3 linked regions of the Arabidopsis thaliana genome follow. The protein of the gene in region 1 interacts with the protein of each later gene in a pairwise test. Each region holds a gene or a part of one and is shown on either strand. Other genes may lie near its edges.

Region 1 (5,502 bases):
AAATATTCGATTAGCCACGAGATATAACAACATTTTTCTTTTTAAAACACGAGATTTAACAATATATGTTAATTTTAATTTATAACCTTTATTACATTAGAATCTCGAGTTAAGATTGTTGAATCAGATCGGAGGAATCTAAGATGTCATAAAGCGCACCACATGCATCAGCTCATTTGTCTTATTCCAAAACAAGTAAGTATACACAGGCATATTCATATGTTGTATATTAATGTATATATGTAGGATGTAACAAATAAACAAGTATCGTTATAGTGAAATTCATCTTCCAAAAGTTACTAGATTCTTGTTTAGCAAAAACAAAAAAGTTACTAGATTCTTGGGTTGGTTACGAAAAAAATAAAATTGGGTCACTTTTGTTGCATCATTTCATAAAGCAGGCTACTTTACATATGTTTTCAGATCTCTATTCCATTTAATATATTTGAAATTTTCAGAAATTAATCAATATCCGATATACAGTATAACCTCTATTTGGGACTGCAAAATTTTATTAATTTAGAGAGGTATTAATTTATTGATAAATTAATATTTATTAATTTATAGAGAGATTTTCTTAATTTGGTAACTTTTTAAAAAAATTTATAAGATTTTTTTCATTATAAAAAATATATTTCTAGAACCAGTTACAAATAAAACATAATAATAATGTCTAGAAAACATTATTAAACAAATAACAAAAGTTTTGGTATAGTAAAATATGAAAACTATAATCAAACAAATAACAAATATGAATTTAAACAAAAAATTATTATAAATATATTTTAAAGAAATTTTTTACATATAATATATATATATAGTTGATATATTTATACAATTATTAATTTATGATATCGATGAGACCATATATTTACATAGAACTTTCCAAAAAATTATTATCTTATTAATTTATCGATTTGTGTCATTTTTTACACTAGTCCCAACTCGGGACCGGAAGAATTTATTAATTTATAAAGGTTATTAATTTATAGAGGTTATACTGTAGTAAGAAGTCCGTTCTATAAGAAAAGTAACAACCCAAACTTCCAAAAATCTGTACAAAATGAAGTTGAATTACAATTATCACCTGGTGTATAGTTAGAGCTTTTATTGTTTTAATATCAAACTGAAAGAAAAAAAAAATTGTTTCAGACAACTAAATTATTGGCTAGGGCCAATTAGGCTGTAAATTTACATATCAACTTTGATTAACTTTTCTTTTTGTAAACTTGTTTAAAACCGTTTTTTTCCATTGATTGATTAATCGAGTAATTAATTTATTTTATTTCATCTAAAACATAAATAATGAACCGTTGTGCAACCTAATTTTTTTTGTGATCGAGCGGGTTGACTAGATGAGTTAGGTTGAATTTAGAAATATTTACTTTTACATGTAAGCTAACGGTATATAAATTCTGAATTGAAACGTAGGATCAGTTTTAAATATGCGACTAAACTCCGTTGAATATCAAATATAGGATTAACTGAGGGTCATACTATAATTTCACGTGAAATACAATTCTAACAATCGTTACAATGTTTTTTAAAAGAGCTTTTATTTCACAAGATGCAAATTGCAATACTATATAAATATAATAAACTGAAGATAAGCGCACTATCCTTCTTATCATTATGATGGTGTGATTTCTACTCTTTACGTTCCATTTTTTTGGTTCACCCAACTACCAAATTTGGGATCCTCCAAATTCTATGCCAAAGACATAATGTTTTTTTTTTCTTTGTGTTTAATAGACATATTGTTAAGATTAAAAACCTATTATAGTGGGCAATTCAATTTTTCCCACCTTTGCCTTTGTCTGAAGAAAGTGTCTTCTTTTAGGCCACTTTTTCATTTTTTTTTTTTTTTGGACTGACATAGTTGGCAATGTGTTGGAAAGAGACAATCTAAGATGTCATATTTTTTTCTTCTTGGGTCCAAAATGTTTTATGAAACCCATGTTGCCTCACAAAGAATGTTTTTGGCAAACACTATCTATTTTTACAATAGACTTCCATAAGATAAACCTATTGCCAAACCTACTCCCATTACAAAACTAACGAGTATAAATTTAAATAACTTATTGAATTATTTTTGGAATTAATCATATTGTCACTTTTATTGTAGAAACCCTATGTCTCACCATAAAACAAAGGCAGGCAAAGTAAAGTATTATCTCTAAATTATAAATTAATAATTATTCGTCGCCTACTTGGTCCCATTTCTCAATTCTTCATCTCTATATCTATCCCCACATTTCATTGCATTGATTCTCTTACAAGCACTTTCTCCCTCAGTCTTTATCTCCCTCTTTCTCTCTTCTCCATGTCTAACATGTTTAGCAGAATTGCCATGACCAACTCTATCGTTCTTCTTCTATTTTCCTTGACTTTCTTAGGTATCGTTTTTGAATAATTGCTTATTTCTGTCTACCAACAAACAAAATTCATTATCTCAATTTCAGTTTGTCATTACACTTTAATTATTTAAATTTCTCTTACATTTTTTTCACAGAACATGGATTGTTGTTTCAAAGGGTCTCCTCTCTTGGCATCAACTATGGTCAAGTCGGCGACAATCTTCCTCCACCGGACAAAGTTCTACAACTCTTGAGTTCACTCCATATCAATAAGACAAGAATCTATGACACAAACCCTCGAGTGTTAACCTCATTTGCCAATTCCAATATCGAGCTCTTTGTCACCGTCGAAAATGAAATGCTTCCCAGCTTAGTAGACCCTCAACAAGCTCTCCAATGGGTCACTACCCGTATCAAACCCTACTTTCCGGCCACCAAGATCGGTGGTATCGCCGTCGGCAACGAACTATACACTGACGATGACTCAAGCCTTATAGGGTTTGTTACATACATCCCCTCATTCCTATAAATTGTTATCCTTTTCAAATCTTGGTCCATTACAAATATGCCCTACTAACCAAATCATGGTAGTCATGTGGGTATCATCCTGAGATCCTCTAGTTCAAAAAAAGAAGAAAGTATTCAACCTCGTTATTGCTATGATTCGCAGGTATCTTATGCCTGCAATGATGAGCATTCATGGGGCTTTGGTCCAAACCGGACTAGACAAGTACATTCAAGTATCGACTCCGAACTCACTATCCGTCCTTCAAGAATCTTACCCTCCATCCGCCGGATGTTTTAGGCCGGAAGTAGCTGGCGTAATGACACAGCTACTAGGTTTCTTGCGTAACACGAATTCCCCCTTCTGGATCAACGCTTACCCTTACTTCGCTTACAAGGATTCCCCAACAAAGATCCCATTAGACTACGTCCTCTTCAACCCTAACCCTGGAATGGTTGACCCCTATACCAAGTACCGCTATGACAACATGCTCTACGCTCAAGTAGACGCTGTGATCTTTGCCATGGCGAGGCTTGGCTTCAAAGACATCGAAGTTGGGGTCTCGGAGACTGGATGGCCGTCTAAAGGCGATGGAGATGAGGTTGGAGCCACTGTGGCCAACGCAGCCGTTTATAACAAAAATATTCTAAGGAGACAACTTCAAAATGAAGGAACGCCATTGAGACCAAACTTGAGTTTTGATGTTTATCTATTTGCTCTTTTCAATGAAGACCTTAAACCAGGACCAACCTCTGAGAGGAATTATGGATTGTATCAGCCTGATGAGACCATGACTTACAATGTAGGTTTATTATCGTCGTCATCATTAACATCAACATCAACTACTTCTTCAACTTCTATTATTTCCCTCACTTCCTCTGCCTCCACGGTATGTATCAACATTTAACTTTACTTGCTCTGTTTCTACTAGATCTCTTACTTCCATATTTCTTTCTTTTTAATCTTTATATAGCACATTAAATCCCTTGAAAAAAGCTTTGATTGAGAAACATTTTTAAAACAAATTCTGACCTGTTGTCTAAAAAAGAAGAGAATTGTGACGTTTCTTTCTTCTAATTGTGACGTTTTATACTTGAAAAGTTCGGCTTTTCTAGAACATATTCTTACCAAACATATTTATTTTAACATATTTCTTGATTAATAGCGATAAAGTATACATTTTTTTTGGAGCGATATGATTAGTACATGATATTTATGATTATCCTCACCATCTGATTTTTAGATACATATTAGTTAATTAAAAATTTGCGGTCTTAATTATTGCTTATTATGATATTTTAATTTAAACAGGCTTTAAAGAAGGGAAAGCAACGGTTGATGTATTGGACATGCGTTTATTTGTTGGCCATTCACATGCTAATTAGAAGATCGTACTAGAAGCAAAAACAAATTGAGAGAGCTTCTAAGTGTAAATAGAGAGTCCACTAATGCGGTCCAATTTTTCAACGAGAAGAATTAAATTATTCTCGAAAGTGTCTCAGATGATTCTTTAAAAGGGGAAAAAAACACTCAGAAAAATTGAGAAGGGAATGCAGTACTGCAAAGCGAATCCTATGTATAAAAAACTGACGATTCATATTATAGAACTTTATTTGTATTTGTCTTACTAACGTGTTAATTACTTTCGTTGTCTAAATAAAAAGTGACTAAAATTAATCATCAACTGATAAGGTATACAATAATGATTCGTATACAATAATGATTCATGAATCATATAAGAACGATCGTGTTTATTGTTTAAATCCAAAGGATACAATTTCATTTGAGGCATTTTAGTAACCACATTCATTGCATAATTTCATTTAAAATGTTTGATTTCACATTATGTACTACATATGAATCATATTTCAGAAAGCTAAAGAAATTACTCTAGATATAAAGAAGACCCCATATAGTACTACTTTTACGAGAAGCATAGAATATAATAATAATTATTACTAAGCAGAAAATATTGTCATTTTCAACGCTCCAAATATTACTTTAAAGTACATGATATATAATGTTATCATCAGATATCGTTTAACAGAAACAGAAAAAAAGAAAGATGATATCATATATTTTATATAGAAATTTATTGATTGGTCACACCGAAGGTGAAGGCTCTTTTATCTTTTACCTTTTATCTTTTGGACGTGGAATCCATAAACCTTAGACATACGATACCTTCCTTTTCCATCTCACCGTCAACATTCGATATTTTAATATATTGTCTGCTCTTACACATGCATGCATTATATCTGCATGTATATGTGGTATGGCTTCGTACGTGCACACACATGACACTACTCATACATGCATACATGACACATCTTACATGTATGAATATGTGTATATGTCATATGTGTGGTGGATACTCATTAATTCACCAATTGATGTAAAAGAGGAATGCTCCATTTTTCTAACGGGAGAGAAAGAAGAAGTTAAAAATTATCAAAACAAAACTAAAGTTTATTTATTAGGAGGAAGCATATAAATTGATATGGACGGTTCCAACTTTATTCCACGACCATGTTTTAAGTCGTCAGCATTTTGACAATAGTCATTGGCCGTCCCTTTTCAAAGGAGCTTTCTCTCTTTTTATAAATTTTCTATTTTTCTACTTTTTTCTCTGGATTCAAT
Region 2 (5,296 bases), on another chromosome or scaffold:
TCTTTACATTGTATGTTTAAAACAATTGCCTACTCCCCTTTGAGTCAATTTGGATTCTAAAGAAAAGGTGGAACACAAAAATGGTTCCCTCGGAACGAGTGTTGCAACACGAAAATATAGAGATCATTTCTAACACCAGTTCTACTGAATGTTTTAGGAGAAGGTAAAGCTGACAAATACTATGCTCACTCAATTGGACATAGCTGATTCTTCTCGACACATTAAAACAAATTCCATCTAAGAGAGTATGAATTGCGGATAAATCTCTCTCTAATTTCCGTGACACAGCAAATACTATCAGGAAAAGTAAGTGCAGTTCTGGGATTGACAGTAGAAGACGAACCTGAAGCCAAGATCCCATGTCCCTACTTATCTATGCCACCTAATCAGGGAACATACCAACACCGAGCAAACCACTAAATACTAATCACTCTTTCATTAGACTATGCCTAAGTTTCCAACAGCTCTAAAACCAACTCAAAATTCTACTCTACCTACATGGAGCCATACTTTAAGCAAATCTAATGCCAATCATTCCTAAAACTTGGGACCTTTAAGTATAATCCAAGCAAGAAGTCAGCACATCTTCATAGCCTCACACCGGGAAAGTAAATAGCAAAATAAACATGAAATAGGAAGCATATAAACCTCTTCTGCATTAGTACAGAAGCATATCATCCGCAACATCAATTCCAATACTCTCACAAATCTAATGTCCAGGAACAAACTATGTCAAAAGACATATCGACCAAATTGTATAAATAATTCTTAAGTAAGAACCTTAAAGATCAAGTGACAGATACAAACATTGAATCAAATTTCTTAAACACCTTTCTAAATTTATCCAAAAAAGCCTTTACACACCGTGCTATTCCCACCCAATTCAACCTCACATCAAAGAACTTATATTGCAGCCTTTTTTTGCTACTTGCTAACACAGCATCGGAAGTGATTCACGATCTATCAATATGGAATCAAAATATAACAAGAAGAGAGAAGAGAGTATAGATCAAGAAACAAGCGTACGCGATCAAGCCACGGTGCTCTTCTCCACCATCAGCAAGAGATACCACCAATGTAGAGCAGGCTCTAGTGGACCACAACACAAACAAAGCCGCAAGCACAAACCGAACCGGCCCTGCTCCCTGGGGAACGAACAATGACACCGCCGATAAAACCACCACCGGAAGCAAACAGTATCCGACCAAGCTCGTACACGTATGGAGATTAAGGTTCCCATTTCTACCAGCAAGCATGTTAAAGACGACGTATAGAAAGATAGAGGAGACGACGATCCATCCAAGTATGACACCGAACTGGATCTTACCAGCTAACAACTGAAATAAGCAAAGCGCAAGGTACAGAAAGATCGGACCAGATAGATCTGAATCTTTGTGAACAGCTTGGTTAATCCGAAAAGGATTGAGAATCGATCTAGTCTTCTTCCAGATTTGATCTGGATGGATACCGAGCTCGTCGAGTAATGGCTCCTCATCTTCAAACGAAGCTGAACCTCCACCAAAAGAAGAAGAGGAAGCGATTGTCCCGCCGAATGGTCCGGCAGGTGTAGCGGAAGACGCGGCTGCGGATCCAATGTCGAATGACATGAAAGGGATTGCGGAAGAAGAGGGACGCGGCGGTTGAAACGGTGTCGCTGGGAATCTTCGTTGCTGGACATTAGCACCGCCTGAAGATCCACCGGAGGGGAAAACTACAGGTGGAACTGCGAAATCCTTCGTCATCTTCTTTCCGAAATTGAGATCTCACCAAATCAGCAAAGAGATTCGAAATTAGGGTTTCAAGTTTGGATCAATGAGATGAATTTTTTAACCCAATTCACACGTTCGTGACGTTTCAGAGAAAATTCCTTTCTTTTTTTTGTTCTCTTCTTCTTCTTGACAGTGAAGAGACAACTTTAGAAGAAGGCATCTGAGGGTAGTTTCGTCATTCCGTCTAGTTAATGACGAAATATAACCAATAGGCTTCTTCGAAACTGGCATGGTGACGTATATCTTCTGATGATATTACCGTTATACCCTCTTTTATAAACGAAATTGGCCCAATGGGTCTGTTCGGCCCAGTAGTCATCCGTTTTAGTCTATAACGTGGCACGATGTAATTGGTTAAAGATTAGAAGACCGCCGGACTAAGATTTAACCAGCGGTGACTTCGACACTTATTAGCCGGTATATTTCTTCGCCGGAGCTTCCTCAACGATTATGGCCACCGATGGCGAGAGTATCTCGATGTCGTTGGCGGTGGCTACCTGCGTCGCGATGGCACTATTCTACGTTTTGATCCTTTACGTTCCCACCGTGATACTCCGTCTCCCGTCGGCTTCTTCTTACACCGAATTCATGATTCGGCGATTCATCTGCGCGGCCATTTGTACTGTAGCATCTCTCGTCTTCACAGCTTTTATACTTCCGGTAAGCTTCTTTGAGTACCGCCATTTCTCGATTTGAAGTTCATTCTCCGTTGATCTGTAACCAAATTAGGTCCAAATCTAGATGCATTTGGTGTTTTGATGAAAGTTAAACTAAAAGTAAAGAAATTTGATGTATTTGTAACTTTGTTGAGAGTTGAATTAGCTTTTACTAGTTGTTGTAGGTTCACACAATTTGTCTCTAAGAATGTAACACTCAAATATTGGTGACTATGTTGTGTTTGGTACAATTCAACGCTAGTTACAGGAATCTCTGAAACTTGTCTTCCTTTTTTGCTTGAGTAATGTTAGATAAAAAGCTGGGAGGCCTCTTATATACTTGGAGTTTATGGCATAAGGAAAGATCATCTGGTAAGTTCTTTGTCTCAATTTGTTTACTCGTAGCTTATTGTACACTATTCATATTAAAATGGTTATGTTTTGTGATATGGAACAGTGGCAAGGAGTGGTGTATCCTCTTCTATTGACCTCGCTCGTTTATGCTGGGTCTTTGGTGTTGAAGTTGTTTACTCTCCTGGAATCATGGAAGGAAAATGGCGGAGGATGTAGTTCCTTTAATTACATCAGAAGCTTTTTCCAAACAATCCCTGCTTCGGTATTGACAAGTGCTTCTAATGTTTCCGTTTGGCGCAATTTTATCGTGGTAATCATATGTTTGCCATCTCTGTGTGCTTATCTTGTCAATTCTTTATTGAAATTGCATAAGGCATTGCTTGCTAATTGTCTGAGGACTATATGCATCAGTTTGGTGTATAAGTAAGTTCTAAATCGAACAAGTTATAATCTGTTAGAGCTGGCGTTTCTTATGATTTGCAGGCACCAGTAACTGAGGAGCTGGTTTTCCGATCATGTATGATACCTTTGCTTCTGTGTGCTGGGTTTAGGATTAACACTGCCATCTTTCTGTGCCCAGTTCTCTTTAGCTTGGGTTTGTTTCTTTCTCTCTCTCTCTCTCTCTGTGAATAACAGTTTACAACTCGAGTGAAAAGAAAATTACTGGATTTGTCTGACTTTTATATGTTTTGTGTAGCTCACTTAAACCATTTTAGAGAGATGTACATCAGGCATAACCGCAGCTATCTCCGGGCTTCACTTATTGTTGGTATGTCTTTGCCATCCATAATCATAATAATATTGTTTGTTGATCAGTCCTGAGCTTCACTTGTCCGTTGATCAGGTCTTCAGCTTGGCTACACAGTCATTTTTGGTGCATATGCATCGTTTCTCTTCATCAGAACCGGTAACATTCCAGGCATTTATATATCTTATACATGTAAAAGCCTTTCTAATGGATGATTGTCTCCTGCATTGTGTAAATTTTACAGGACATCTTGCTGCTCCTTTGTTTGCTCATATATTTTGCAACTACATGGGATTGCCTGTGCTATACGCAAATGGAAAAGGTAAGACATAAAGTTCAAGGTTGTTAACAAATGCAAATGCAAAAGAATAAGCTAAACATGGTTATGGTTCTTCTCTCAGGTTTGGTGAGTGCAGCGTTCTTAGGCGGTGTGGTTGGGTTCGTCTTACTTCTCTTTCCTTTAACAAAGCCTCTCATGTACAACGATAGTACCAACGATTGTCCGTGTTGGCTTGGCTATTGTTTGTGGAATTGACACTTCTCCAAGTTTTTTTTTATATATCATCATGTCTTAGAATCTATTTTTTGACACAATATTGGAATTATGGTCTTTTACTGCAAGCTAATGTTTCTTGATAGTTTATGTAGTTTTTTCCTTGTAAATATATAATAATAATAATAATTGGTTCAAGTCTCCAAAATTAGTGTTGGCTAATTGTCCATTTTTTTCCGGTATTATCCCTAATGATTCTCTTGCTATCCTAGGAGGGACAGGAAGAAGGATGATCTACATCCCCAAGTCTAACCTAAACTATATTGTCCAATGTCAACACGCCAAAATTCATTTGATTTATATATAAAAATAGAGAAACAATGATTAGAAATTGAACATAGGTCCATAATCTTACATCAGAGATTCAGAAGATGATGTCTTGCTTGATGATCATCCAAAGAGATTTTGGGGGTAATCATCAAACGGATATAATTTTCTGAAAATTATATTTCAAAGTTGACTTTCAAAGTCTGAGTTTATGATGATGATTTTCACTTAGGAGTTACGAAAATTATGTTTCTAGGATTCGTAGGTCTCTCAGTAATTTTCTCACCACCACTTGATTACTATGTCATATTCCTACGAAATTTGAAGCTTGGATAGTTGAATTTATGGTCAATAAATTATCTGTACACTACACATATATTGTGTTTGTGTGAAGTAAACGGTGATTTAACGGGAGAGGATCTCTTCATAAAGAAGATGTGGTTGATTATGCTTGCATATAACAGAATTTGTTGAACCGGAAAATCATCCTCGACAAAACCAATATGCAGTAATCTACTCTAAAATGTATTTTACCCAAACTATACACTACTACTATCTAGTGAGATTCATTACTATTGTTTATGTGGATAGTTTTAAAAAGATGAAGACCAATACTATTATGATCTATTCATAAATCCTATTCTTATTTTATAGTTGTAAGTTGAGCTTTTATAATAGAGAGCATAAATATTGCTGGTATTTGAACTAATACAAACCGTTAAAAAAAGGGAACTAATACAAAAAGAAAAATCAACTAAATTTTCACTAATACTAAAAATTTGCAAAATTATGTTAATTTACGTTTATTTATTTATATTATAAATAAGTGAGTAAAATTCAAAATATTTATTTACCTTACATTTTAAATTTATCATCGCAAAATACACCACAAAATTTCATTAAGAAATATTTGTTTTTTTGTAAAGGAGGTAATAAATGACGTTTTAAT
Region 3 (5,445 bases), on another chromosome or scaffold:
CATTACAATGTCATTGACACAAGTGGACAAAAAATATGTGATCCTACTTTAATTGATATTTTTTTGTATCTGTGATCAAACCTTAATGGATTTTGAGATTTTCAAACTTTTTGCTACACAGGGTATCATACATTGTATCAGTGGTACAAATCAGTAGAAAATGAACATTTTCCGGACCCTACTGGCCTCCGAGACCGTATTGAGCAGTGGACGTTCGGATTATATCCTGCCTGCATCAAGTATCTTATGTCAGCATTTGATATTCCCGAGGTAAAATCGTCAACTTAGCCTTCGTTTTAGCTGAAATAGAAAACTATTTTTCAGCCGAAAGTAAAGTATTTGACATAGGTGATGGCGGTTACACGGACTAACATCTGTCGAGAAAGGAATGGGAGTCACTTTCTCGAAGCGGAGCAAGCCATCTATTATGCTTCTGTGTTCCTCTACTTTTGGGTTCTTCTCAACCCCTGTTGTATCTTTGGTTTTTGGAAGTTACTTATATATATCCATCAACTGGCTTCACATACACTTTGATGAAGCATTTTCTTCACTTCGGATCGCCAATTAACAAATCATTCACCCGTTTCCAACATCAAACCTGATGGAGACCTTGAAGTCTTCACTCTCGGAGTAGACAAGGTGAGAAAAACAACTCTCGAAATGACAAAAGAAAAAGTTTGTGATTATAGAATTAAACAGAGGAGTGTATGTGATGAATGAGTACAGGTGCCAAAGGAATGGAAGCTGGACAAGGACTGGGATGCAGAGCCGAGATCGACTGTGAAAATGAGTCATCACAGAAGGTTTCCAAGCAAATGGTGTGCAACAACATTGCAGCAGGATCCTGTCAACACCGTAAAGATTGTCGATAAGTTTGTTATTCATAGATCAGAGAAAGAAACTGGAGGATCTTAGATAGAATCAGGTTCTTCACTGATCCTGTCGTTTAGAATGTAGTCATTAGCGTTTCCCGCTTTATGAATAGGCTTTGAGACGAATAATGCTTTCTTCTGAGAGTGATGACAAAAATAATTCATATCATAGTTAACAATTTAACAGCTCAATCTTTTGCAATTTCACTTTAGAATCTAATAACAAGTCTCTGACACAACTTTAACTCTATTTTGTGTCTCCTTCATCCAACATTATTCTATAAACCCTTTGAATTTGTGAGATAAAATATATATAAATACATGGCACATTCTCAAACCAATGACTTCCTTTCTTCGTCCTCTTCTCTATCACCATCGCCTCCTGCGATCCTAACCGCTGGTCTCGCCGGAATCTTGGCCGGAGCTTTACTATCCATTGGAACCATCTTCAATACAATCCCCATTGCTATCAACAGCAAGCCTGATCCGTGCTGTTCCGTTAACGGCTTTGTGAATATCAAATACGACAGCAACAATGTAACCCCTTTCCTAGCCGTTGTTATCTACACACAACGAAATGTGATTTTAGACCATTGAGTCAATTAAAATACAAATGAGTATTCAAAGATAAGATTAGATATTTACCAAGGCAGTTGTGGCGGCTCCAAAGAGAGCAATAAGCGAGAGAACGGAGACTTGACCGATAAATGTGGCCATGGCTTCAAATACAAGCACTCCATACACATACGGATGCTGCAAATATAAACAAAGCACAATTGGTTTTAAATATGTCAACCAATGAATCATTAAACCGTTTGACTATAAAATATTCCACGTTGGTACTTAAGTTATGGAATCAATGAATTTAAAAGAGACAATTTGGCTTTTAAAAAGTTTGGCAGATTCAGAGGCACGTCGTCGGTCAATGATCTCTCTCATTTCGTGGTACCAAGAATCCTACAAATTTTGACTTTTTCTCTAAACTGAGTCCAACTCCGGTTTGAATCATAAACCGAGTCAAATCTATAGAAGTACTTTCAAAGCCAAATAAAAGGTTCCACTCTTTGTCACTTTCACTTAAAATGGACGACTATCTCATAAGGTTAACTTGGTTTGGTTAAAGGTTGACCAAAAGTCAAACCAGAAAAAAGAGAACAGAGGTTGTTTACTTACTTGTGCACACGCAGTCCACGCACGAAAAACCTCTCCGGTTAAAACCATGGGAACGAACAAGAACGGTAATCCAACAACTGTTGAGCAGAAAAGCATCTCCATCTGCACAACACACATAACAAGAGTTAATCTCAGAAACGAAACAAAACAGACCGGTAAAGGAAAACCGAAAGAACCGTGTTTTCTTTAGTTTCCTTGCCTGAGTTGTCTCAGGATTCATTGTGAAGATAGCTTCTTGCAGATTACCCAAGAAAGCATCCATGATCAATGCACCGGTTATCATCATAATCCCAATCATACTGAAATTTGGAGACATTTGCGCATCGGCTAATGTGAATAGGATCAAACCAAGAACAAGCAAGAACGCTGAAATGTATTCATGGACTGGGTATTTTCTTCTAAGACCGGGTATAAACGCTCCCATTATCATCACCGGTAACACCTAAAACATCCGAAAGATGGTCATTCCGATCATTCTTTAAACTCAATTTAAACTCATTGAGACTGTAATTGGGAAATGTGGATCTATTACCTTGGTGGATTTGAACATGATTTGAGCTGGATAATTGAGATAAGCCAAAGATCCTTTGGTTAAACCATGTGAACCCATGAGAACAGCAGAGAGTTTGACATAAGTTCTCATCGGATTAACTATATGCTTTGTGGTAAAGCCTTGAAGGTAGATTAGAAACAAGTAGACAAATCCTTGTATAAACGTGAAATACCACCCAAAGCTACAAAGACAGAGCAAAATCCCATTGTTAACTTTTGTTCAAATCTAAAACTTAAAAGAGTAATCAAAAGTTGACTTTTACCTAAATTGAAGACGATTATAAACATATTCCTGCAAAACCAAAGAAAAATAAATCAAGTCAATGATCATATATGAGTACTTGTAGATCCAATCACATTCTCTAAAATCTGTTTTCTTTACAAAGATCACAGATTTTTTGTGATCTCTCACAAGTTTGGAGAGAGTTTAGTTCGTCATGCAATTTTTTCTTCTTCCTCTGTTTTTTTTTCTCTCAGAAACAAAACATCAAACACTTAGCATGCAAGAGATTGAAAATGCAAAAAAATTATAAATTTACGAGATTCAGGAGCTGGGTATGTGGAATTATGACAAAGAACAAACAAAAACATTAACGTTGATTGATTATGTATCAAAATTCTCGAATCAAATTGCAAAAAAGAGAGAAACGAACCTCGCAAACACCGTTAACGAGATAACCAAAAAAGAAACCAGAAGTGCAAATGAGAAACTGTTGCCAAGTTGGTTTATCAGACAAAGAGATTCCAAACAGAGATCTTGTTTGTTCCTCCTTCATTTTTCTTTTCTTTTCTTTGAGGAGAGATTCAAAGGAAGAAACCCAGAAAGTGAATTAAGAGTAATTGATCAAACACATGTAAAGTGATGACTCATAACGGTATTATTATCACTCCTCGAAATAACGAAAACCACACCACAAAAAGGGTAATCAAAGAATAATTAAAACCAAATTCTTCACTCTCCTCGAGAAACTTGATGAAGAGGGAAGAGAGAGTTAATAGATGTATTGGTAAAAGAGGAGGAGGAAGAAGAGAGCTTTTAAGAAGGAAGGAGAAAACGCATGAAGAAGAAGAAGAAGAAGAGACTCGTCGCGTGATTTGCCACTTCGGGACACGTTTTTTCTCCATTGAGCGTTCTTCTTCTTCTTTTTACGTTTCCTGTTACTCTTTTTTTTACCGGTAAAACTCAAATTTGCAAGTAAGACCCTTAACGTTTATGTATGTTTGATTTAAGTCTGAAACTTTTGTTTATCTACACACCACGACAAAATTTGCATTACCAGCGTGGCACATTTTTTTGTCTTAAGTCTTTTATTGCATGATCTCATGTTTGCTAATTACGATCATATCATATTATTACCAGCTTGGTATATATATATATATAAAATTTGGGTTTTAATGACAGTTTGTGTTGTATATGTGTTGTTTGAAAAATGTATTTATAATAAATTTTGGTATAAAAATAAGAAAAATAAATGCTATGACTTATCAAATAAAATTATCTAAATTTGTCTATAAAAAAAAGTATCAAAGTAAAATGGAACAAATAAGGGTAAAAATTGATATATAAGAAACATATCAAATCAGATCTTGCTAGTCAAAATTGTAAATTTTTATCTACATTTAGGATCTGTATATTGACTATGTTTTCTAAATAACATTTGTTAAAAAAAGTGAAAGAATTCAAAAAAGTAGTGTGACAATTTTTACAAAAACCTTAATTAGAAGTCTAAAATCATATGATATCATCAAATCTTGATATAAAGTAAAAAGAAAGTGTGTCACTGACTCTACACATTAGAAAACTAGAGGCACTAATAAAAAAAATAAGATAAACTTTAGGGGTGCGTTTTCATATTTTCTTTATTTGATGCAAAAGAAAGTTACTACTTCGAGAGAATAAGAGAATAAAAAGGAAAATTTAATAAAGATAATCAATATGGCTTACGAGTCAACTTTCCGGTTTAAGACAGATTGAGTCATTGTCTCAATAGACGCCATTACAGTCTGTCTTTTACAATTTCATCATCTTTCCTGAATTTTGTTTTTGTTATTTTCGGAAGTGATTGTTAAATGCGTTACAGAAGTTCTGGTCATGTCAGAATTACATATTGACATAACATCTGGACACGTTTTGGTAAAGAAATCAATTTACTCTTTTTCTTTTCATCTTCTATATCCATATTGAGCAATAAACTTCACACATGCATATTCATTCTTTCACCAACAGAGTAGTTGTTTTGTTCTAGTTGAAAACTCTAGTGAACAAATTTGGAGGAACATATACAAAATGTGTAAGCAAAATAATGACGATATTTAGTCAATGAATTGAAATGTTTTAGAAGAATTAGGTGGCGGTGTATGGTGAACAGTCGAAATATACATTATTATTGGCTATTAGTTCTAAAGAAGCGATTATAATCGTCGTATATGAAATAGCATATAGACAAAATGGTTTGTTTTAAAATAGACCGTTTAATAATAGCTTTGATTAGTGACACTGATAAGTTAAAATGGAATAGAAAATAAATTAACTATGAGTCTATAGTCATACAAATATCATATATGCATATAGGCGTCGCAAAGAGCCAAAGACCATATTCTTTTTTTTTTTTTGGTCAAAAGCCAAAGACCATATTCTTTTCTTGAAATACCAACGCGAAACTCAACAATAAATCTGATATTTATTTTATTTTTTGTTCAAAGGCTTAAATGAGAGAGCTTACTGCAATATTACAACAACAAAAAAATTGCAATTGGTATTAGAGATTTTTTCCTATCAAATTTATTTCTATTAGAAGGTCAAGCTTTACGTGCAATTGTATTAATACATAAAGTTACAAATGATAAT

Evidence for each region.
Region 2: the proteins of AT1G30080 (region 1) and FACE2 interact in a protein complementation assay, tested with the Arabidopsis thaliana proteins (one large-scale study listed by BioGRID).
Region 3: the proteins of AT1G30080 (region 1) and UTR2 interact in a protein complementation assay, tested with the Arabidopsis thaliana proteins (one large-scale study listed by BioGRID).

Annotation. Positions count from the first base shown.
Region 1 is NC_003070.9:10,549,989-10,555,490, reverse strand, and holds AT1G30080 (Glycosyl hydrolase superfamily protein), read left to right. Parts: upstream 1-2,195; 5' UTR 2,196-2,323; coding exon 2,324-2,396; intron 2,397-2,512; coding exon 2,513-2,855; intron 2,856-3,027; coding exon 3,028-3,751; coding exon of another isoform or gene 3,752-3,769; exon of another isoform or gene 3,770-4,173; coding exon 4,174-4,260; 3' UTR 4,261-4,636; downstream 4,637-5,502.
Region 2 is NC_003071.7:15,212,388-15,217,683, forward strand, and holds FACE2 (farnesylated protein-converting enzyme 2), read left to right. Parts: upstream 1-1,998; 5' UTR 1,999-2,219; coding exon 2,220-2,429; intron 2,430-2,737; coding exon 2,738-2,797; intron 2,798-2,882; coding exon 2,883-3,089; intron 3,090-3,262; coding exon 3,263-3,374; intron 3,375-3,476; coding exon 3,477-3,548; intron 3,549-3,623; coding exon 3,624-3,686; coding exon of another isoform or gene 3,687-3,742; exon of another isoform or gene 3,743-3,771; coding exon 3,772-3,849; intron 3,850-3,928; coding exon 3,929-4,062; 3' UTR 4,063-4,226; downstream 4,227-5,296. Other genes in the region: AT2G36300 (Integral membrane Yip1 family protein), read right to left, coding at 975-1,742. UniProt on the Arabidopsis thaliana protein: Protease involved in the processing of a variety of prenylated proteins containing the C-terminal CAAX motif, where C is a cysteine modified with an isoprenoid lipid, A is an aliphatic amino acid and X is any C-terminal amino acid.
Region 3 is NC_003075.7:12,059,114-12,064,558, forward strand, and holds UTR2 (UDP-galactose transporter 2), read right to left. Parts: upstream 3,746-5,445; 5' UTR 3,374-3,745; coding exon 3,251-3,373; intron 2,890-3,250; coding exon 2,861-2,889; intron 2,780-2,860; coding exon 2,578-2,779; intron 2,488-2,577; coding exon 2,245-2,487; coding exon of another isoform or gene 2,222-2,244; intron 2,176-2,221; coding exon of another isoform or gene 2,148-2,175; coding exon 2,046-2,147; intron 1,963-2,045; coding exon 1,822-1,962; intron 1,626-1,821; coding exon 1,518-1,625; intron 1,470-1,517; coding exon of another isoform or gene 1,436-1,469; coding exon 1,205-1,435; coding exon of another isoform or gene 1,194-1,204; 3' UTR 1,071-1,193; downstream 1-1,070. Other genes in the region: AT4G23000 (Calcineurin-like metallo-phosphoesterase superfamily protein), read left to right, coding at 122-270, 349-534; AT4G23015 (uncharacterized protein), read left to right, coding at 1,194-1,469.